Drosophila melanogaster: one gene and its partners. The protein of the gene in region 3 purifies or fractionates together with the protein of the main gene of each other region. This does not show direct contact. Each region holds a gene or a part of one and is shown on either strand. Other genes may lie near its edges. The genes, in order: idc, Cyp4ac1 and sesB.

The links.
Region 1: the proteins of sesB (region 3) and idc purify together in Drosophila melanogaster (affinity purification with mass spectrometry, with the first as the bait; one large-scale study listed by BioGRID). This does not show direct contact.
Region 2: the proteins of sesB (region 3) and Cyp4ac1 purify together in Drosophila melanogaster (affinity purification with mass spectrometry, with the first as the bait; one large-scale study listed by BioGRID). This does not show direct contact.

The regions. Positions count from the first base shown.
Region 1 is NT_033777.3:20,029,318-20,036,403, reverse strand, and holds idc (identity crisis), read right to left. Parts: upstream 4,582-7,086; 5' UTR 4,465-4,581; coding exon 4,294-4,464; intron 4,240-4,293; coding exon 3,239-4,239; intron 3,081-3,238; coding exon 2,946-3,080; intron 2,889-2,945; coding exon 2,778-2,888; intron 2,524-2,777; exon of another isoform or gene 2,363-2,523; coding exon 2,215-2,362; 3' UTR 2,109-2,214; downstream 1-2,108. Other genes in the region: Regnase-1 (regnase 1), read left to right, coding at 486-2,108; trem (trade embargo), read left to right, coding at 5,194-5,340, 5,395-6,155, 6,212-6,346, 6,403-6,513, 6,573-6,738; CG4854 (uncharacterized protein), read right to left, coding at 7,006-7,086.
Region 2 is NT_033779.5:5,260,692-5,267,204, reverse strand, and holds Cyp4ac1 (cytochrome P450 4ac1), read right to left. Parts: upstream 3,205-6,513; 5' UTR 3,172-3,204; coding exon 2,970-3,171; intron 2,910-2,969; coding exon 2,706-2,909; intron 2,648-2,705; coding exon 2,566-2,647; intron 2,510-2,565; coding exon 2,409-2,509; intron 2,350-2,408; coding exon 1,409-2,349; 3' UTR 1,306-1,408; downstream 1-1,305. Other genes in the region: Cyp4ac2 (cytochrome P450 4ac2), read right to left, coding at 10-110, 166-247, 307-510, 569-773. UniProt on the Drosophila melanogaster protein: May be involved in the metabolism of insect hormones and in the breakdown of synthetic insecticides.
Region 3 is NC_004354.4:10,779,616-10,789,785, reverse strand, and holds sesB (stress-sensitive B), read left to right. Parts: upstream 1-2,878; 5' UTR 2,879-2,980; intron 2,981-5,327; exon of another isoform or gene 5,328-5,435; intron 5,436-6,896; 5' UTR 6,897-6,974; coding exon 6,975-7,009; intron 7,010-7,105; coding exon 7,106-7,406; intron 7,407-7,485; coding exon 7,486-7,613; intron 7,614-7,690; coding exon 7,691-8,165; 3' UTR 8,166-8,793; downstream 8,794-10,170. Other genes in the region: Ant2 (adenine nucleotide translocase 2), read left to right, coding at 9,269-9,589, 9,666-9,793, 10,091-10,170.

The DNA of each region.
Region 1 (7,086 bases), on a different chromosome or scaffold from region 3:
TTTATTTAAAAGTTGGGTAGTGTAAGGTTGGAACTAGCAAGTATTATAATAGAATAAATATAAATTTTATATACTTAAATTTTTCTATACGTTTTTGTATGGAACACGTATGTAAATACGTTTAATTGCAAGATATTCTGGCAAAGATTAAAGATTCGTTATTATGTATTAAACATACATATCTGGCGGGCATTTTAAATCTGAATAAGAGGAAGATGAATCCGTTTCCTGTTCTCCAAATTAGTGATGAGCGTATCTTATGGCGCCTAGCTCTACTACAATCGATACCAAGGCGGCAATGCTGTTTTGCTAACCAAAATGTTCGATACAATTCATCGATAAGACCGTGAATGGGCAACCCAGCTCTAGTCTGTAAATGTAAATAGACGGAACTTGCTGCAGAGAACAGCTAAAAACGCAAGGAAGCGGGCAAAACAAACAACAGGAGCGAGCAGCCGAGGGAAAGCCAGCCGCTGGTCAGTTAGATGCGCATCAAGATGGATTGCGAAGTGCAGGAGCAACACAAACAGCAGCAACAACAACAGCAGGTCCACCAGCAACAACAAAAACACGGCAGCAGCAACAAGTTGCCAGTGAGAAAGCAGGAAAGCTGCTCCGACGACGATGAGAGCCAGAGTCCCAGCCGCACAACGGAGCGCCAGAACCTGGAGTTCGCCAAAAAGCTAGGCTACAGCGAACAGTCCATCCATTCGGCGCTGACGCGCCTCGGCTCGGAAGCCAAGCAGAACGAGCTGCTGGCGGAGCTGATCAAGCTGACGGCCGATGCACCGCGGCCCGCCCACATAGGCGGAGGCGGCAGTCCATCCAGCATGACCAGCACTCTGTCCTCCCCGACCGGCGGTAGCAACAGCTCTGGCTTGAGACACATCGTAATCGATGGCAGTAATGTCGCCCTTTCTCACGGCAACAATCTAGTATTCTCTTGCCGCGGCATTCGCATCTGTGTGGACTGGTTCCGGCAGCGTGGCCATCGCGACATCACCGCTTTCGTGCCCAACTGGCGCAAGGAGATGGCGAACAACAACATAGCCGACCAGGAGCTGCTCTACGAGCTGGAGCACGAAAGATACCTGGTGTTCACGCCATCGCGACATCTGGATGGCAAGCGTGTGTCCTGCTACGATGATCGCTTCATACTCAAGCTGGCAGTGGAAACTGACGGCATTGTAGTCTCCAACGACAACTACAGGGATCTGATCCTGGAGAGTAACGAGTTTAGGCGCGTGGTGCAGGAGCGCCTGTTGATGTACTCTTTTGTAAATGACATCTTCATGCCACCCGACGATCCGCTGGGCAGATCGGGTCCAAATCTGGACCTCTTCCTGTGCTCGCAGACGCAGCAGAAAATGGCGGATGCGCAGCAGTTGTGTCCGTACGGCAAGAAGTGCACCTACGGCCAGAAGTGCAAGTTCCGGCATCACAATCAGGCGCCACTGCTGCAGCGCCTCCCGCTGCAGGCCTCCCACAGCGCGCCCCTGCACACGAACGGTGGCCAACAGTTGGTCAGTCCGGGTGGCAATAATAACAATGTTAAGATCAACTCACTGATTAGCCGGGAGCCGCTGGGGCGCACCAAGTCAAATACCATCGAGCAGGTATGTCAGGGCTTCTCCGCTCAAATGGATCTTTCAGAGGGTGCCGTGGAATCCAGCCAGCCCAATCGCCACAAGAAGCTGCAGCGCCAACAACCGCCGCCCGCCTACCGCCTGCTGGTGCCCACCTACAGTGCTCCCCTCCAGCAACAACAACACCAGGCACAGCAGCAGCATCAACAGTCCAACTCCAGCACCAACTATCACCACCAGTATCTGACGCGCACGCCATCCGCCCCGGTCACGGATCAGGGACTGGGTCTGCCACTGCCCGCTCACAACTTCGCCCATCTGTCTGCCTCCGATTCGCGCATCAACGAGGAGCTGCACGCCTCGCAGCAGCTTCCGCGGGAGGAGCAGCGCCGATTGCTGCGCTATCACCTGGGCAGCCTTTTCCCACCGCACCAGGTGCATGCCGTACTGCAGCTCTATCCGGAGGAGACCGACGCCAAGACCATATGCGCGGCTATTCTTAATTTATTTCCGCATAATTAGGCTAGGCTTAAATTTCATCAATATAATTAGATGTGTAATTACACGCGTGTTTCTGCTTAAAGTGTAAAGTGTCGCTTTGGGACGACGTGGAGTCCTCGCTCGAAATTTACATATCCAGGCCAACGATGTTGGCCGTGTCGTAGGACACCAGCCCGGCTACGGATTCCCGTGCGGACTGGCCGCGCCTCTCGTGGATGACCCGGTGGTTACGCAGTTTGTACGCCTGCGGGAATCCCTTGCCGCACACATCGCAGCTAAAGAGAGAGAGCAAACGTGTTTTAAATTGATTAGAATCCTTGATTAATTTATGTCTTCCTTATAACTTATAATATTTAAACACTAATACTTCATTCCCTGTTTATCTAATGTTATTTACGCCTCAGGCACCTAATAAACAATCAACTAAACTCAAAATATTAATATACTACGTAATATTCGTAAACAATAATCTTTTGAAACAGCATGGCTCTTTCAAAATAGTTTCCACTGTGAATTGTACATTCTTATAGAATAAAAAGTATATTTTTATAAACGATTTCCATCTCTCTATATCAAAAAAAAAACTCAATCTGGTTCTGAAGCTAGTGTATGCATAAACAATCTGTGAAACAGTGAAAGTTCGTGCTAGAGAATACGGACTGTAACCGCCAGGGGGAAAGCGAAACTTACACGTGCGGCTTCTCTCCCGTATGAATCATTTTGTGGAACTTCAAGGTGTTGGTGTAAGTGAATGTCTTGTGGCAAACATCGCACTCGTAGGGTCGCTCGTTGGTGTGGATTCTGCAAACGGGTAATTATTCAATCAAATCGGGTTTGGATTGGAGCTCACCAACTTACCTGTGGTGCTTGTTACGCGTGGACAAGTCGGCGAAGGCTGCCGGGCAATAGCTGCATTTGTACGGCCGATTTCCGGTGTGGGTGTTCATGTGGCGTGCCAGCTGCTGAGCCTGGGCGAAGCAATGACCACAGATCCTGAAAAATGAGATTTTAAGTTAATGAAGGCTTATTGAAAATGATTAATTACTTCCACACAATCATTATACCCGAATTAGACGGATATATGAGCTAAAATCGTAATAACACTCCAAAGAACATAGTGAACACGCAGTAAAAACTGTGAAGTTACTTACTCGCACTCGTGCGGCTTCACGCCGGAGTGGACCTTGATGTGCTCGGTAAGGCGACTCTGGGAGGGATACATGTTGCCGCAGACATCGCAGATGTACTTGAACTCCTTCTTGTCGCCAAGAAGGATCTTGTGGCCGCCTTTGGTTTTAATGCCGGAATGCTTGCGCGCCAGCACCTCGCCAATCGAGATGTCCTTCTCGGATTTGATGCTCATTTTGCTGCCAGCCGAATCACTGTTACCCCGCCGTACCTTAAGTGGATTGCCGCGGTCAGTTGTCTTGGAGGTACTCGATTCTACAGCCACCGAGGCCGTCGATGTAGCTGACCTGCGGGGATTCACTCTCCGCTTGGTGGCATTCCGCGCATGGATGGACGCGCGAACGCTTTTTGAGGGAACGAACTCCTCTTCGGTTGAGTTCAGATCGACTTCCGCATCATCCTCGTGGGCACTTTCGGTCAACTGATCATGCTCGACCTGGTCCAGGTATTCGATTTCGGCAGATAACTCGGACAGGGCTTGATCGGCCATCTCGTGGTCATAGCCCTGATCTGGGATGAGGTCGCCCTCGTACGTCTCATACACGTCATAAACCTCCTCGATTATGCCGTCCTCCTCCACCTGCTCGTTCTTCACGTGCACAATCCGATCCTTTTCCAGCTCAACGAGGATACCATCCTCAATCTCGTCATGGAAGACACCACCCTGCGTTTCGGCGGCATCGTCCGCCTCGGCATAGTGGCTCTCGTCCAGGTCCACATCCTCGTCTTCCTCGTCATGCTCTGGCTCCTGCTCCGCCTCATCGGGATCGACATCCGGCTCCAGCTTGGTGGCTGTCTCTGAGCCCTTTTTCTCCGGTGGTCGCTGCTCCACCTCTACGGGTCCAACGAACTGGCGCAGATGGCCGTACGATCTTTGGCAGGTCTCTCGAAACTTAAATGCCATTTTCAGCACCTTGAAGCACTTCTCGCATATCTTGTCCGGATAGTGATCGAACTGTTTGATCTGCCAAGGAAATTGCATTGTTATATGGTTCGGGGTCCAATGGGACAAACTTACGGGCACTCCGCCGCACTCGCGAATCATGTGGGTCAGATCCTTTTCCGAATCGTCGTTGAAAATGCTGGCCATGGGCTCCTTGGGCTGCTGCAGGCAAACCCGGCAAACGATCCACTTCTGCGTGCTCGTTGCCGCTGCCGCCGGACTCGCATGTGCTGCCGAGTCTCTCATTGTCGCGAATAGGAGATGGATCTCTTCCAGGAGGCTACTTACCCTCCGCTATAATATTTATAATAACACGCTCGCTGGACGAAGACGACGCCAAAAAAATAGATTGTAGTCTGGAGCGAAGTGCACGCGTTGCAATGCGAATGTCGCCACACAGGGTGACCACAGTCGACGCTAAGGGTATTCCATTCGCTACTTCAAATATTAAATATATAATTAAGAATACGAATGCATTTTGTGGGCAGTTAAATAAATCAGTAAAATTGGAATTCAAGTGTTTTACAATTTAAATATATAAAAGCTTGATTAAGCAGTTTAATACAATATTATATGTCAAGCTCATGTAAAGTTCCATCGTTCCATAAGACAGTGTGGTCATTACTGTACTGAAACAAAACTACTTTGATAGAATAGTGCTTTTCCTTTTTATTATATAAACGAACTTAAAACCATTTTCCTTCAATATTTGTAAATTGAAAATAAAATTAATAAAATGACGCGCATTTTTATATTATTTTCTACCAAAAAAAAATTATTTAAAACATTTGTTTGGTAAAAAGTGCACATACAGCTATGTACCCTGTACGCTCCATGTAGTCGTTCATAACGTGCATTCACCGTATCAACTTTGGCGGGCGCGTTTCGCTGTGAATGGCCAGTGGCCGTGGACGCTTAAATTCAGCTGTTTGAATCTTCTGCAACAACCGAAGTGATTGTTTTATCGAATTAGCCATGAAAACTGAGTCCAACGAGAAGTGGGTGGTGTGCCGCGTTTGCCTGAACAATCCCAGCGAGGGCGAGGAGCTGCTCCACGACATATTCAGCGAAACGGCAAGCACGCGACTGGACCAAATGCTGCACATTTGCGCAGGCATTCCAGTAAGTGTGAATCCTGCTTGGTTTGCCCATTTTAAATTATTCCAACCCAAACAGGTCAGCCTAGATGACAACTTCCCGGACAAGATGTGCAGCAAGTGCGTGCGCTGCCTGCGGCTCTGCTACAAGTTCCGTCTGACATGCCAGCGATCCCATCAGCACATTATGGACATGCTGGACCGGGAGGCCAGCAATGCTAACGCCGCCGGCGAAGGGGATTTGCTTAGCATCGCGGAGGACCTTTCGGTGGAGAGCGTACTGAAGTCGTGGGAGGACTACGCCAGTCAGCTGGATGGCGGCATGAAAGTGGAGGGCGAGGAGGATCAGCAACATCAGGTTATCACCTATGTCGTGGAGGATGGTGATACTGATGATACCAATATGTTCGATGTGCACGATCCCACGCAGCCGGTGCCAAATGAGATCGAGGAGGCTGAAACCTATGCTGAATACGAGGAATACGAACTGCTCACCAACGAAAACTCGCCGGAAATCGCACAGGAAAAAGGCTCCACCGGCACAGATGTTGCCACAGAGGAGCCGCCCGAAGAAGAAATTGCTGAAGACATACTCGACTCTGACGAAGATTATGACCCAACTCATGCTAAGCCGGAAAAATGCGACCGATCGGGCAGGAAGCCAGTTGCATACCACAAGAATAGCCCAAAAGTGGAAACCTTCAAAAAGAAGGTGGGCAGAAAGCCGCGCAACAAGCTGAGCACATACATCTGCGATGTGTGCGGAAATATCTATCCGACTCAGGCGCGTCTCACCGAGCACATGAAATTCCATTCTGGTGTTAAACCACACGAGTGCGAGTAGGTTTAAAAGTTGAAAGTAAATAGTAACTATGGCTAATAGGATGTTATTATAGGATCTGCGGAAGAGGCTTTGTGCAGAATCAACAGCTGGTACGGCACATGAACACTCACACGGGGAACCGACCATACAAGTGCAACTACTGTCCAGCTGCCTTCGCCGATCGATCCACGAAAACCAAACATCATAGGTGAGAAATATTCGAAACAGTTGAAAGTAAATTAAACTGACATTATTTCTCTCCAGAATTCACACTAAGGAGCGTCCCTACGTGTGCGACGTTTGCTCCAGAACGTTTACCTACTCGGACAACCTGAAGTTCCACAAGATGATTCACACGGGGGAGAAGCCGCATGTGTAAGCATCAACATATTTTACTACTTCATTATCCTGCAATAATAGCTATTCTCTTTCAGCTGTGATCTTTGTGGCAAAGGATTTGTGAAGGCCTACAAATTGCGTTTGCATCGGGAAACGCATAATAGACGTATCACCTGGAGAAATGACGCAGAAGAGAGCACCAAAGCAGAAGATGTCAAGGGGGAAACGCCGGAGTTTCTCAATGAACTCCCCAAAGAGTGACATGTTCTTTTTAGTTCTTATGCAAAGTTTAGTCTAAGTATTTAGTAAGCCGTTGTTTAAGTTCTTCCATTAAGCAAATAAATGTACACAGGATATATTTTTTTGTACAATTTGTTTTTTACTTCTTATAAAAAATTAAATAAGGAAAAATGACAAATTTTAATGGCGGTGCCCTATGGCTTAGAACTTATCCATTAATATATTGTACAATTTTCAACGAGAAACTTATTTAATTTGCACCTCAATGTTTCCTCTTAGTCACTGCAATCATTTCACCTCTTTCGTCCTTTTGTGTGACTTTTCGTGGCTGTTTTTGTGGTGCAGCTGGGAGAAGGACTTCTGGCAGTA
Region 2 (6,513 bases), on a different chromosome or scaffold from region 3:
TGAACTTACCGCAAACATTGTTTAGCGTAAACTGAGGAATAACCTGATTGAGCTCCAACTCCATATTCACACTTTGATGCAGGACTTTCACAAGTTTATTGCACTCTTCTCTAAAAATCGAGAGTGCTTACAACTTAACAACCATTAACTATTTTGTAAACTTACTTGAATATGATCAGAAAAGATTGCAGCACCTTAAAGTGAAAAGCAGGAGTCAGGGCTTTTCTTCTAGAGTGCCATTTCTGATCTAAATTGGTTTAAAACTCTTTAAAATAGTAGGAATTAAGAATGAAAATGTAAAAATACCTGTGCTAATCAGCAGTCCTTCGCCCAAAAACGGTTTCAAAAGCTCGTAGATCATATTTTTGGTAATAAGCTTGGAACTTTGCAATATCTCCTCGGCTTCCTCGGCCCGAACAATATTATACATGGGTGCATGGAAAAAATACCATAGATAGTTTCGACCTTTCGCTTTTGCAGATGCATCTCTCATGAAGTTAAATATGCTTTCTGTCAAATATTCCAAACGATTTGAATATAGTTTTAGTGTTAATTTGGTTTCACTTACCAGATGTAAAGTTTACGAGGTCAAAGTTGTTTCCAAATCGGGTTTTGCTCGGCGCTACGTAAATTTTACTTTCCAACAAACTACCGTCTTCTGTTCGAATTCGTTTGCAAAGACTCAGGATGAAATAGGTCCTATTCAAATGAGCCCATAACTTGCGAAAAATGAAAATCACAAGTGGAGCAGCGAACAGGACTTCCAAAAACATTTCTACGTTTATATTATATTCCGGTCAGAGGTTCCAATACCTCTCAGATTAAGCTCCGATCTATAAATGACGAATACTGATTAGAACTCAGTGATCGGAACAATTGAGTTCTGTAAAATCAATAGGTACTTAGTATAAAACATGTTCCCTTGCGGCATGCAATTGATGGGTATATTAAATTGCAAATACTGCACTGTTTTTAGAAAGTCTTGTGTAACAAAATTTTTTGAAATTTACGATATTTATGTATATTGGCTTTTGATTTTTTTTACGTAAGCTTTAATTTGTATATAAAGCTATAAAGCTGTATAAAGTAGTCGGTAGTTTCACTATTACAAACATGCAAATTGATCACAATGTATCCTCTCCATAAAAAAGCAACCAGCAATTTATTTAAACGTTACCGATTGTGATGAACGTGTTAATTAAATTAATTACATGTTAGGATATCTTTAGTTCAATCATTTCATCGTTTAATCATAAATCGTTATATTTTACATGACAGATAATAAGACAAGCGATCAATCGTTTTAGAGTTTCAATCGTTTTACTGGTTTATTTGTTTCTCTAAACAAATTACAAATAAAAGCTCTTTGGCAAACCGTTTTCCATAAACTTACACTAGGAAATATTCCTCATTTTACCCTTTTCGATAGCTTCACTTTGATATTCTCTTGTGTGCGCAGCACGATTCCGTTCTCAAAAGTGAGATCCTCCAACTGGGTGGCGGGCAGGAGTTTAAAGTTCCTAATCACAGCGGCCAGGAGCACCTTCATCTCCAGAATGGCAAACTTCTGACCAATGCAATTCCTCTGGCCTGCACTAAAAGGCACATATGCAAAAGGATGACGATTCACTGTGTTCTCCGGTAGAAATCTGTCTGGCTGGAACAGATCTGGTTTCGGGAAATGTCGCGGATCTCTCATTATGTCGTATATGTGGATGCTGATCTGGGTGTCCTTTGGCATCACCATTCCATTCACCACAGTCTCCTCCACGCATTGGCGCCCAATAAATGGCACTGATGGAAACATTCTCAGCGATTCCTTTATCACACATTCCAAGTAGACTAGTTTGTTGAACTGAAACATACTGATGTCATCGCTGTCCTCGGGAAGATTTTCCACCTCCTCATAGCACTTCTTCTGGACATCCTCGTGGAGAGCCAGCATCAATAGGGTAAATATTAGACAGGTGGACGTAGTATCGTAACCCTCGAACATAAAGGTATTGACCTCATCGCAGATACCCTGATGATCGATCTGACCATCTGCTTCGGCTGCTAACAGGGTATCCAACATGGCGTATCGCTGCTTCCTGCCAAATTCATCGACTTCTCCAAGTTGTTTCTGCTGGAATTGCTGCCTTTTTCGTTCGATAATGCGACTGGAGAAGTCGTGAACTATTCGAAGATTCTGCAAATGCTTTCTATAGTCTCCGTAAACGAAGAAATACCAGTTGTAGTACATCAGCGGATTGCACACGCGTTGAATTAGAACTTCCTCGATGGCATGGATGGCCTTTCTATATTCGTTGCCCTCCGACATGTCATCCAGCTTCACACCCAGAGCAGTTTCTATAAAGGGTATGGTTTAGTTTAAATGTTCTTAAATATTATCACTTCATTCAGCTCACCGCATATATTATTCAAAGTAAATGGCGGAATAACCTGGTTAAGCTCCAGTTCTGCATCTAAATTTTTCTCTAAAACGTTAAGGAACTTCTTGCACTCTTCCCTAAAATAAACTTATATTTGAGCGAATTCAATAGTTAATTAATAGTTCAAACTTACTTGAAAATACCCAGGAATGACTGCAGGACATTGAAGTGAAAGGCGGGCGTTAAAGCCTTTCGTCTGGAATGCCATTTGTGATCTTGAAATCATTGATTAATTAGTAATTATAATAATGCAGTACAAATTGATTGAATCACCCGTGCTTATCAGGAGTCCGTCTCCCAGAAATGGTCTAATCAGTTCGTAAACCACGTTCTTCGTTATCAGCTTGGTGCTCTGGAATACCTCCTCAGCTTCCTCGGGTCGAACCACATTATACATGGGTGCATATAGAAAATACCACAGATAATTCTGACCCTTGGCCTTGGCCGTGGACTCGCGCACAAAATTAAAAACACTAGCTGTAATAAAACTTGAAAAGTAGTTATAAACCTATAATCGCATTGAGTAACAAAACGAACCCGGCGTAAAGTTCAAGATATCCAAGTTGTTGCCAAATCGCGTTTTTCCCGGCATTATGGCCACTTTGCTTTCCAATGGACTGCCATCCTCGGTTCGCACACGCTTCGTTAATGAAAGTATAAAGTAGGTTTTGTTAATGTGTTTTAGAAGAAGCGTTAGGACCGCCAACAAAATCGGGATCCCCAGCAGAGCGATCCACATTTTGTCGCAAAATTCTCCGATCGGTCCGTTCTGCAGGCAATTTCACTACACACTAAGCTTTGGCATATCATCAAGCCTCTGTAATCATAATCAATTGTATGTACTATACTGTTTAAAACAATAACAATCTCAAAACAGCTTTCTGTTATCAGGAAGCCAATTATATGGTTGGATTATATCAATTATTGTGGTTGAGTGCTGTTGAGTTCTATTCTTTTTTATACTCGACTTTGCAATTTTTTAATTTTGGATTGTCTATAATGATGACTCCATTTTGAAGCATTCCAACATTTTAAGTATTATATCACTGATGCTATGGCCGGCTTTAAATGGTCAGTCATATTTTTATGATTATCTTGAAGCTTAATTTAATCGCTTAATGGTGAATACTAAAGCGTTCGGTTGTGTCAACAAAAACAGTCTAAAACCAAATAATTGGTTAACTCATTTAAAAGTAAAAATTATTTATTCCAGCACGCAAAGCTTTTAGACTGTCAGAAATTGAACTAATTGCTTTTTAATGCATATAAGCTATAATGTCATGCTATTGATTTCAAAGCGATATGGTTTTATTTTTGTTGGCAGTAGAGCTGGCTAATTATTAGTGCCTATAAGTATACATAGGAAATGTTAAGGTAATGAGATTAAAATAAAAAAATTATGGTATTCTCCATTCAACAGCTGCCTACTATCAAAAGGCATAATAATTAATTGAAGCACTTGACAGATATTGAAATTGTTAGCGAAGCATTTGAAATAGTTCAAACTGGCTTACGATCGTTTTTTTTTTTTGTTTGCCCATATGACCATTCCAGATTAATAACAATTTCTTGGCAAATTTCCTCCCAGGCCAAGCGGCATATTTTCCCATCGTTCCAACTATGGAACTGGCTGCAGAAAAAAAGAGAAAAACTAGCAATGTCGCATCAAAATGCCGCATTGATTAAAGTTTGATTAGCTGCAGCTTGGCCAGATCGCATTTGGGCTTGAGGAATTAATTTGAGCCAAGTTTGTAATGCGCGCGCAGAAATGGCAATGCCACAGTTGCAGTTGCTGCCGTTGCAATCTGGCCAATTGCAGCCTTTGCTGCAATAGAAGTAAATGTGGAAAAAAATTAAATCACAGTAATTACATTTTCTGTGGAAATGGCCGGAGCCGGAGATGAACGCGCAAACATGCTGCACGACCAGTGCGTGGACCTGGATGACAAAAATAGTCAATGCAGCAGGAGTTGCAGCAGCAACTGCAGCAGTTGCGATCAGCAACGGTCACAGCAGCAATCACAAACTGCATTTGGGCATGAAAAGTGCTGTGCCGGCACAATTGGATGGAAAAACTGGCCCTGTCTCTCCGTTTCTTGTTGTTATGAACAAATGTTATTGCGGCGGCAACATGCTGCATGTGTTGCTGCTGCCACAGGAGCAACATCAACTGCCGCTGCTGCTGCTGCTGCTGCTGTTGCTGCTCATTAAGATGCAAAAGACGTCGCTTGCCGCCTTTTTAGAATTACTAATTGAATCGACGCGATCAGTGGCAATTGCAGCGGCGGCATTGGCCACAAAAACCAAAAACCAACAGTGAACAACAACCATTGCGGTGGCGGCTTGAATGTTTGTTTGTTAGTTTGTTTGTTGTTTCAACCGCTGCTGCGCTGAATGTTGCTGCCGCTACTGTTGCAGCTTCCGTTGCGGCATGAGTACACAAACATACGGTCATACGCCTGCGTATTTATTTATTTATGTACGTGATTCGCAGCGTGGTTTTGCGATTCTCTCAGCGCAATTCGCAAAGCAAAAATCTGAGCCAAAGCAGAGCAGCTATCCCTTCAATGGCGATGCACATCCGCAAGCCGCTTGGGGGAATTGCTAAGATAACAAATTCTGAGCTGCTCGGGAGCTAAGGAACCCTCAGGCACCTGCACCAAAGTTGCTTATAAGGCACTGCTAATATCATTAAAACTTAAGCAGGCGCTTCAATTGAAATCGTATTCTACGTTGTATATCTTGGTGGGTTATCAACCTTATTTGTCTGAATTTTTAAAAAATAAAAACCACACCTTTCAGCCGCATTCTTCGCGCTTTAGTACACAAATTTTCCATCATTTTCCGGCATCTTTTTAGCCAAAATATTCATGTTTTTAGTGCTGACCTTACTCGCTGCATTTTCTGGCTAAGCACAAAGTCATGTAGCAACATGTTGCGCGGTCGCCGCAACATTTGCTGTGCAGCAACATGATTTTTCAATTATTGCAGCGGCATGTAAAATTTGTTGTAAGCGCTTGCATATTTACTTTAACACCTCGTCCTCTGTATGTATCTTTTTTCCTGTGCTATTTCCTTTTTTTTGTTTTTTTTTTTTATTTCGTTTTTGGCGTGTATGCGCTGACAGCGAACGTTGCCGGCGACGAACAGGCGACGCTTGTTAGCCATGTTGCACGGCCTGACACTTGTTGCACGGCATTCTGCCCCAGCAACCTTTTGCGGTCGCTGTGCCCCAAAGATCTCAGCTTCCCGATGTTGTTCTTGCGGTCGATGTACAATGGGGTACAAACATAGTGTTTATCCAAGTAAAACCAAATCATAAACGAGGTCTTCAAAATATCCACTTTATTCAATGACCTTAGTGCACAAAACTATGTTTTTAAATACCCTCTGTAAAAACATATTTTGTTAAAATATGACACAATATTGTAGTTTGAACCCACTGTGCTGGGTTGTTCTTGGGTTGCTTTTGGTGTTGATGTTGCTGCTGTGTGTTTTCGCGTTGTCGTTGGCGTGTGTCTCTCGCTCCACTAAACTTTTAATTAAAATTTGGTCGTATCACAGTGGCTGCTGCTTCCTTTTTTGTGGCTTGTTAATGTCACCTGAAGGAGGCGGGGGAATCCAGGCAATATACTCCACTGATTTTTATGCAAATTTGCCAGTCTCGTTTTTCGGTCAACGGGCAACTTGAGGGGTTTCCAGGCGACGAGGGCTCGCTTTTGGGATCGCAACGGATCGCACGGATCGGGTTCCCATGCCGAGCTGCGTTCGTCATTAAGTTGTCATGACCATAATCATCTTTTGAGACGGCCATAGACCAACTTTGGCGTCCACTTCTTATATAGTCTCTGTCTCTGTAAAAAACTGAACAGTCGATCAATAAGGCAATTGGCATTTCCCCTATGATTAAATGAAATGATAATTTAAAATGGATATTCTCTTGAAAATTGCCTGCCACATGATTGCATTTACTTGATTCTCAGAAAGAATATCTTTTGCGAATCCTTCTCATAGATATAAGCATTTTAATCTAATTAAATTAATTTAAATTGGACATGTTCCAGCTTCGGTTTCCATTTCG
Region 3 (10,170 bases):
CTCATGGGACCTTAAGCAGTCCCCCCCCCCCTTTCACCAGAACCCTAACCTGCACACATCATTTTTTCAATTTTTGAACGGCGAGCAAACTATATAGAAACCACTTTACACATAATATACTAAAGCTTAAAACAAAAAAAAACATAAAATTAAAGATGAAAACTTACAAAAAAATACCACTATTTTTACATTAATTATTTTTAAATTTATCCTTATCTTTACCTAAATTAGTTTAGAGCTTTTTTTTGCGTCGTCTACATTTTACTGTTAAGTTCATTTAATCTACACATAATCTACATGAGGATGATGTGACGACACCAGATGTATCTACACTGTACATTGTATCTACATTACAGAGCTAAAATATCTATAAATATTATAAATATAACAAAAAAAGAGTAAAATATTATTAAAAACACAAAAAAAAAAACAAAAATAATTCGTTCCTTGGTTGTTTTTATTTTCGTTGTAGTTCAGTATTTTTGATTTTCAGTAACTGGTTTTCCTCTCTCCTTTCCAAATCGGCTTCGATTCCGAAATCCTATAATCCCGATCGTTTCGAGAGGCTTTCGATGTTGTCCCTGTACCCAGACATACATATATTAATGATCCGTAACCCCCTATTCAAACAGTTGTCTAAATTATTAATTTAATGTGAATTTGAGAAGAGCTAAAGTCGTCAGATAAATTCAAATAGCGTGTGAGTACATACATAGATGTATACCTAACTAACAACACCGATCATATATATGGAGTACACTAAACTAACATAACCTAACGTAAACTAAAATAAAGAATAAATGAATGAATTAACTACCTCAGCTTTGAATATTTCTATAGAAATGTTATTAAATGTATTTGAAAAGCGTAAGAGATATACAAATGCAAGATGCCGCCAGATCGAAAGATAGTTAATAAAAAGAAAGACAGATGGAACAGAACAATGTCAAAGAATACAAGTTTTAGAGCTGCATTTATATAGTATCAGATCGATAAGGAACATAGTAACAAAATCGTAAAACAAAACCAAAAAAAATATATTAAGTGTACGTTTTGCATATTCCTATATAGTTAACTAAACGTAAAAGCAAGATGGGTAAACATGAATACTACTATAACAATCATTTTGCGTCCATTTTTGTTGTTTCCTATACAAGAAAAAATTAAATAAAAACAAAAACAAACCACAAAAAAAAAAAATAAACAAAAAAAAAGCGAACGAATAAATCACACAAATAGGATGAAAACAAAACTATATTCCCAATTACATTGTATAACTGTCTTTTAACCACAAGCAAAACGCTAACACAATCGGTACACGATAACCAATATACTATACATATATCAAATATCCACTCTGTGTATGTTTTGTATCTGCCATGGAATATGTACCCGAAAGTAATCTAGATAACCACGTAAAGGACATAGGACTCGATGTCTAGATGTGTCGTCATAGTTTAGAGGCCCCAGTATTTACTAGCCAGTACTTTGCATTTGTTTGCCTTTATCTTTTACCTTTACCATTGCCTTTAAATTAACCCCTCTGTCCAACCAACGAAATTCAAAAGAAAGGGTTCTTCATTTGATTACCATACCCCTCAGCACGCCCAAAACTCCTAGTATTCTGGCCTGTCCCAGGGTGCTGATTCAAAAACTAGAGATATACATAGGTGTATACATAACATACTAATCTGCGTAAGATGTTTTCCCCATTTCGGTGTAACTAAATGTTAATATTGCTAGCGCTCAATACGAAATTACCGTATACAAGACCCACATACAGCAAATAAAAAGACACAAAAGCTTACTAAATTGTATCCCAAGGCCAAGGAAAATATTAGAAAACCAGATATACAACTAACTCAAATACAATTTTGTGAACATGTGAAAAACAAATCGAAAAGAAATTTACTCAATAAATGATTTTTCGTATATAAGAAGTGCATTTTGAATCAAGTTTTGCGATTATCCTTTTCAACAACGTTTTAAAATTAAGAATATGATATTTTCGAAAAACATTTTTCAGAATAACTTGGCCAAAAAAGGTGGCTCAGCTAAAACGATGACTGTTTTGTGTTGCTTATTAACATTGCTAACAATCTGTAACACTTTCAAACCGAGTTTCAGGAATAATTTTTTTGACCAATTTAAGCAATTTTTCATTAGGGGTACCATCATCAAAATTCGACAAATTACCGATTTTCTCATTTTCGATAACCAAATTTGCAAAAAATGGCCAAAAATTAAAGTTGCCAGACTTAAATACAGTTCGATGAGGAATTTGGAACGATTTCAACGAGGTATGAGATATTCCAATTTTGGACAAACCTTTGATTTAATATAAAAAGAAAACTTTTGTTTTTGTAAAAAAAAGAGCAATTAAAAAACCGCGTTAAATGCAATACATTCAAACTAGTTTTTATCATAGTTTGGCAAAAGGAGGTCGTACAGGTCGTTGTTAATTTCCCAAAGAAGCGTGCAGATTAATTGTAATGAATCCATTATTAAAACATAAAATAGTCTTTAACTTTTGTGTAATTCAGAACTCGCAATAATATAATATATAATATAAAATAATATAACATAATGGGAAAGTCGATGTAAAAATATTTTTAAGGTATTAAAAAATATCGATATTGATGCTTCAATCCCCGCTTGCCTTAATTTTATAATAAAACGTAATATACTGGTTTTAATTACATCAAAAATAGCCATATTTATTTATACTAGCAAAAGTTACCGACAAAAATATCACGAATAAAAACCGAAATCTAGCTGAATATCGATAGATCGCCGAATAAATACCAGTTAAAGCAACTATCGATATGCGGTATTTTTGCAGCTTTCATCCCCAAGTCACTGGGCCCTCGAGACCCCCACCACTTTACGAATTTCATTCGCCAAGTGAGCACGCGGCTTCGTCTGATTCTGCAAAAGAAGTTTTTATTCTGTGACTTTTGTGAGAAGTTATCAACTGAAGGTATTGTGCTATTTTCTATATCTATTACATTTGCGAGGCTCTTTTGCTTAACAAGAAAAGAGACGGTGTGCCCCGTACCTGCCATTGATTTTTTTTTACCCATTAATTCACGTCACCTTGCGCTAGATTCTGTAGTTATGTAATGTGCTAATTTTTTTATTGTGTCGGTGTTGGTTTAAACTAACGTTTTTTTTTGTATGTTCGACAAGCAGTTCCGGTTTAACTGCATCGAAAAGAAATCCCGAAATGGGACTTGAAAATACCCGAAAAGTGCTTACATAACCCTTGCGAAAAATAATTGTGCCGAAATTGTGTTTGCCATCAATTAAACACGTAATAAATTGGGCGTATTAGCAAACTTTTCGGTATTTTATACCCCCAATCCAAAGTTCATTTAGAATACCCAGAAAGAAAATGGAAGAAGCCACGCTGGATCTTTTTCCCATCTATTTCCTTCCAATTTGCAACCACGCTGGAACTGCCAACTTATGCAATAGCAACGAGTTGGCAGGCCGGCTCGTCTGTACGAAAAAATGTTGCACATGAATTGCGATTATATTTCAAAGAGAATTGCACTTCTCTAGAATCAAATTGGCCTGCATTTGCACAAATATATTATTATATACACCAAATGCAGGCTATTCTATAGTAAAACGCGTGGCAATTGATTGTTCTACCGCCCAGTCGCACATGAGTGTGTATGAACACACAGTTGCGAATAAATTCCATGTGCCACTAACGCCCTCTCGCTCACTCCCATGCCAGACACCAGCTGCGCGTGCAAGTACTTATCGGGTGTGTGTGTGTGAAGAAGAGAGAGAGAGTTGGTTTTATTTCTTAAGAGTAATGTAACTATTTCTCTTTGGTTGCCTCCCTTTCTTTTCTGACCTGCTTTCTTTTATTAAAGATAAAAATTCATGCGAAAAAAACGGGTTTCCCCAGTGTTCTCATTTCTTCTATTATTATTCCATTCCCATACCCCTTAAACCCTTTCTGACGTCAATCGTTAATGTACGTATAGTATTCATGTGATTTATTGTTTATTGTAGCCCTTTGTGTGGCCTTTTAGTGCGATTTTGCACTTGGTTGAGATTAGTGTTTATTATTACATATCCCTGGCGAATCACATTTCCAATTCTCGCCCAGTCGGCGGAAATTTTCAGTGTGATTTTCAAGCCGATCCACGCCCTGTCCTAAAACCCCGATTCATCGCACACTGAGCCATAAAAATTATAACTTCGCTGCCGTTTAATTTTGGCAATTAAGCATTTTTGCAGTAACTTTGCAACTGCATTTTTTACGCTCTCTTTTTTGATGGGCAACTAGCTCTCTTTTATTTTTTATGTAATTTTTGTGATAACGGGACCTTGAAAAAGTGTCGTAGACAGTTATATAAATTAACTGTATTAGCAGAAGTGTTTATCTAATCGCTTCACGCATTTTTTTTCGAGCGCCGCCCCTCTTCCGCCTGCGTGAAAGAGACGAAGCGTGAGAGAGAGGGAGAGAGCGGCAGGTGGACGTCAGAAAGCAAAGTCACATGCTAGCAGTGCTGCCAACCCTATCTTTAGAAATAAAGCCAAATGTTATTAATAGCTTAGCAATTAAATAGCTACAAACAATTAATAAAACCTTTCAACTCTTTTCAACTTTTATTTTTATAAAAATTGATAATAGTTTTGGTTTTTGTATTTGAATAAATTGTTCACTGCTGTATATTGAAGTTTTCTAAGCCAGTCCAAGTAGTTCTTAAAACTGAATATCAAAGATACCCCAATTTTGTTGAATAAGGAAGACATGTATTTGGGTGTAATAGAAGTACACTATTCAATCTTCTAGAAATCTAGCTAACAACTAGCTAAACGGGACTATCCGTCTGCTTCGCAGCTGACTTGTCGGCTATTTGCCAAATGTAAATGTTGTGCGTACATTCATTTTGGCAAGCGTTTAGAAAGCGCCGTCGAAAACCTCGAAAGGGGTAAATGAAAAACAATTGGCCATATATGCATTTTTGGTCATGGCCAAAACGAAACAAAAAGTGTTTTCTAATGAGTACAAGTGTGTGGTACAATACTTCCTCTTATGCAACGAATGGCGACATTGAATTCTTGAATTCTCAGCACTGATAAGCGGCGATCTCTCGCCCTCTCTCGCTCGCACACGTGCTGTTGCCAACCGCTAGTTTTTTTTCGGCTCTCTCCGAATTTCGCATACTCTGCATATGCATATAGAGAGAGAACGCTCTCCCCCTCTCTCGCTCACGCTCATCTGTTGCTGAACTTGACGATGGCGGCGACTGCGACGCCGACGTAGGCAGAGCAGGCTAGCTGGCAGATTTCGGCGAAAGGAACTTTCACAAGCAATTCAGTTGCCGTCCGGTTCAGACTTCTGACTTCCGAGGAATAAGGATAAATTTTTTTCGGTTTTGTGCTGTGATATAGAAACACAAATACAAATTGTACGTATGGCAAACAAATTGGATATCAATTATCGAATCGAATTGAGCCATAGCCCATTTAACAAAATACGCGTGTGGTTCCTAATGCTTTTATTATTATTTTTTTTTTTTAAATCAAATCCAACCTGAGCATTGAAAGAAAATCTGCCTGGTTATGTAAAACAACAAAAGAGTTGAACTTGAATCATTCATTGAACAATTTTTTTTCTGGTGTGTGGTGGTGGTCTTATGCAATCAATAACAATGAATTAAGAATAAACTTAACACTGGATTGTGGATACTACTACGACTGCTCAGCCTTCGGTGGAAGCTTTCCACGTGCAACTGTAGAATTTTTCCAGCTGAGGCTATTACATCACGAGCCTTTTAGCTCTCGGCTCTCTGTGGCTGTGGCCGAAGAAAAAGCTTCACTCTCTTTCCAGCCAATCAAAAGTCTAACACGATTAGATAACGGTTGTTATTTCAAAGAAAGAGAACAGAAGAGAAACGAAACAATGGCAAAGCACAGTTCTCTTTGCCAAGTGTGTTACATAAAACCCTTGTCAATGAAATGCTGATTTAATTTCGCTAAAATATAATTTAAACCACACGGCTAACGCAGAGCGGCGGCTGCTCTTGAAAGTCTAAAATTAACAAAACGCGCTTCAATGGCGAATGCCAACTGCCAAAAAAAAAAACCGTGGCCTCTATAGCCATCTTGCTCACACCCACTCAAATGCCCATATATATTGGCTTTTTCCATTGAACTTTTTCAATTCAATTCTTTTCTTTTTTTTTGTGTGGTGTGGCAATTATGCAATCCCCCAATCTTTACTCAATGAAAACCAGTAGACTGCCGCTCTATCCAACTAGAACTGCAATTGATTTATGTCATATTCTCTAGATAACATAAATTAGATAAGCACTTATGTATTTATGTATGCCACGTAATGCCATGTATTTTACTTAGTTTTCAAAGCTAACTGGTTAGAACTTAATTTTCCAACAGTACTTATTTTATATCGATTTAAACCACCACGTGGCAACCAGCCGGCCAATAAAACTTTTCACCTTTTTTGCACAAAACCAGTTTTACCGGCAACTGCCAACACGCATACTAACACAAACAACAAATAATTGTAACCAAAACGCTGATGTTTCCATAAACCATTCAATATTAACCCCCTTTAGCATTAAGTTTAAGTTGCCATTTATACTAACTGTGCATGTTTTTATTTGTTTCATTTGTCGCTAAAACCTTTTTACTTCACCCGCAAAAATGTTTTGTAACCATTTGTAGTGCTGTTCAAAAAAAAAAGTGCATGTTTTTCGGTTTCGGTTTATAACTGTTCAAAAAAATAAAAAAAAAGTGCATGTTTTTCGGTTTCGGTTTATAATTTAATACATTGAAAATTTTCACATTTTCATTTGGCTTTGGGCTATTCTTCTATTGTGCCTTTTTTTGCACCCGTGTAAACAAAGTGAATCGTACATCCACTATACAAAAATACCGTAAACGTATATCGTAACCATTATGCAACGCACCATCACCCGCATGCCATGGGGAATATATCAGCATCCATAACATCACAAAGGTATATCATCATCGGTATCACCAAGTATCACCATCAGCGATGACGGAACTGTCGAGATTAATCAGAGTTTTGGCCAATTGCACGATGTGTTTACAGCAAAATGGGCAAGGATTTCGATGCTGTTGGATTCGTCAAGGATTTCGCTGCCGGAGGCATCTCCGCAGCTGTCTCCAAGACTGCCGTCGCCCCCATTGAGCGTGTGAAACTGCTCCTGCAGGTTCAGCACATCTCGAAACAAATCAGCCCCGACAAGCAGTACAAGGGCATGGTTGATTGCTTTATCCGCATTCCAAAGGAGCAGGGATTCTCGTCCTTCTGGCGCGGCAACTTGGCCAACGTCATCAGATACTTCCCAACCCAGGCTCTGAACTTTGCCTTCAAGGACAAGTACAAGCAGGTGAGACTTTGCAGTCTGCATGTTAGCAATGCGAGCGGAAAACACTAACGCCCCGGTTGCTATTATGTGTGTAACTTAGGTCTTCCTGGGTGGCGTGGACAAGAACACCCAGTTCTGGCGCTACTTCGCCGGCAACTTGGCCTCCGGTGGTGCCGCTGGTGCTACCTCTCTGTGCTTTGTCTACCCCTTGGACTTTGCCCGTACTCGGTATGTTGGTATATTTGCGAAAAACAAAAAAAAAATGTCCAATAAACTAACGTAATGCTTTCGCTACGAATTTACAGCTTGGCTGCTGATACTGGCAAGGGTGGTCAGCGTGAATTCACCGGTCTGGGCAACTGCTTGACCAAGATCTTCAAGAGCGACGGCATCGTTGGATTGTACCGTGGTTTCGGAGTGTCCGTGCAGGGCATCATCATCTACCGTGCCGCCTACTTCGGCTTCTACGATACCGCTCGCGGTATGCTGCCCGACCCCAAGAACACACCCATCTACATCAGCTGGGCCATCGCCCAGGTTGTGACAACCGTCGCTGGCATCGTGTCCTATCCCTTCGATACCGTGCGTCGTCGCATGATGATGCAGTCTGGTCGCAAGGCCACCGAGGTCATCTACAAGAACACACTGCACTGCTGGGCCACCATCGCCAAGCAGGAGGGCACCGGTGCCTTCTTCAAGGGCGCCTTCTCCAACATTCTCAGAGGAACTGGTGGCGCTTTCGTGCTTGTGTTGTACGATGAGATCAAGAAGGTCTTGTAAATTAAATTATTAAATTATTCAAAACAAGCAAAATACAACAACATACAACAACAAAACAAAACAAAAGAAGTAAAACTAAACACTACCAGCTAATTATGTTAGATAACTGAATGAGAAAAGCTAAAACAACAGCAATAGCAACAGCAAAGGCATAAGCTAAGTTTGATCTGCAACCAACACCTCTTACCACGAACAACGGCAAGCAATAACAGCAAGAACCCTTCCTTCCTCACCCCGATATAATTATGAAATTATATTATTTATAAAAACTGGGAACTAATTTACGGAACGATGGCCAGCGTCAATAGAACAACAATACTACAGCAAACAGCAATGCTCGGGGCAGAGAGAGGATGCGACTCAGCACATGAGACTAGACCCACTACACTGAAAGACGAACGAACATAGCGACGATATCGATTAGTATTGTTAAGTTTGGGTTAGGCTATATACTATAGATCCAGTCATGTTGCTGGGTCGTCCCACATCTCCCCAGCCAAATCAGTGTTATCGATCGGATGCAAAGAATCGAACCGAAGACCTGTAGATTCTTTCGCCTCCGAAACGACAAACCAACAAACAAACTCAACTTCGGTTGGTTTAAAAATATATAAAAATTGATAAAAATAGTACAATGTTGTGTTTTTCTTTCTGCGCACGTACATATGTATGTATGTATATCGATCTTTCATATTTCGACTTGAACCCAATTATTGCAATGAAAGTACATATGTATTTGTAATTCAAAAATTATATTAGCATACTTACACAGACCATTTGTGCAGTCAACCAATTGGTCGTCTCAATTTAATCTTCGGCAGTTCGAAGCTAAATTATTATAATTATTTTCTGTTGTTAAAAGAGGAAAAAAACGTACGCTCATCGCTTCTAAAATTGTTGGTCAAAGTAGGCCACGATAAATACATCGAATGTCATTTCGACCGACTGGCACACAACCTCGTTAGCCAATCTCAGTTCAGATCTCAACGTTGTAACATCAAAATTAAAAATTGTAAAAAGTGAAAGTCCGTTTTTATCCTTTTTTACCAACCAACTTTGAAGCTAAACTAAATCGTTTTAAAATCATTAAACAGTAAACTAACATGGGCGATGAAGGCGGTGGCGGTGGTCATGGCAAGGGAGACCTTAAGTCTTTCCTCATGGACTTCATGATGGGCGGCGTTTCAGCTGCCATAGCCAAAACGGCAGTGGCTCCTATCGAGCGCGTGAAGCTCATTCTGCAGGTGCAGGAGGTTTCCAAGCAGATCGCGGCAGATCAGCGCTACAAGGGCATAGTCGATTGCTTCATTCGCATTCCCAAGGAGCAGGGCTTCTCGTCGTTCTGGCGCGGCAACTTGGCCAACGTAATCCGATACTTCCCAACTCAAGCCCTTAACTTTGCCTTCAAGGATGTGTACAAATCGGTTAGTTGTTTGGACAATCCTTATAATAATCATTTCACATACGCCTATAACATATAAAACATAAAACATACTACAGGTATTCCTCGGGGGCGTGGACAAGCACAAGCAGTTCTGGCGCCACTTTGCAGGAAACTTGGCCTCTGGCGGTGCAGCAGGTGCCACATCTCTGTGCTTCGTTTATCCACTGGACTTTGCCAGAACCCGGTAAGTTGATTCATTATATACACATTCAATTGGTTTTTTCATTTATACACATATACATTAAAAATTGATAATTTTGAGTAATTGAGGAAAACAATTCGAACCTTTACATACTTACTATAGTCGTTCAAAATAATCGATGTCCAAATGAGATTATACATTAAGACGCTTTTTCTACAACTGCATTATTCACCCACATGAACTGTTTTCCCCATTTGATTTGAATTTGATTTACTTTCATTGGATTCGATTTTGTTATTAACTATTTATTACTATTCCAATTCAATCTTCCGCCGACAGTTTGGCCGCCGATGTGGGCAAGGGCGGCAATCGGGAGTTCAACGGCCTGATCGATTGTCTAATGAAGGTGATCAAGAGTG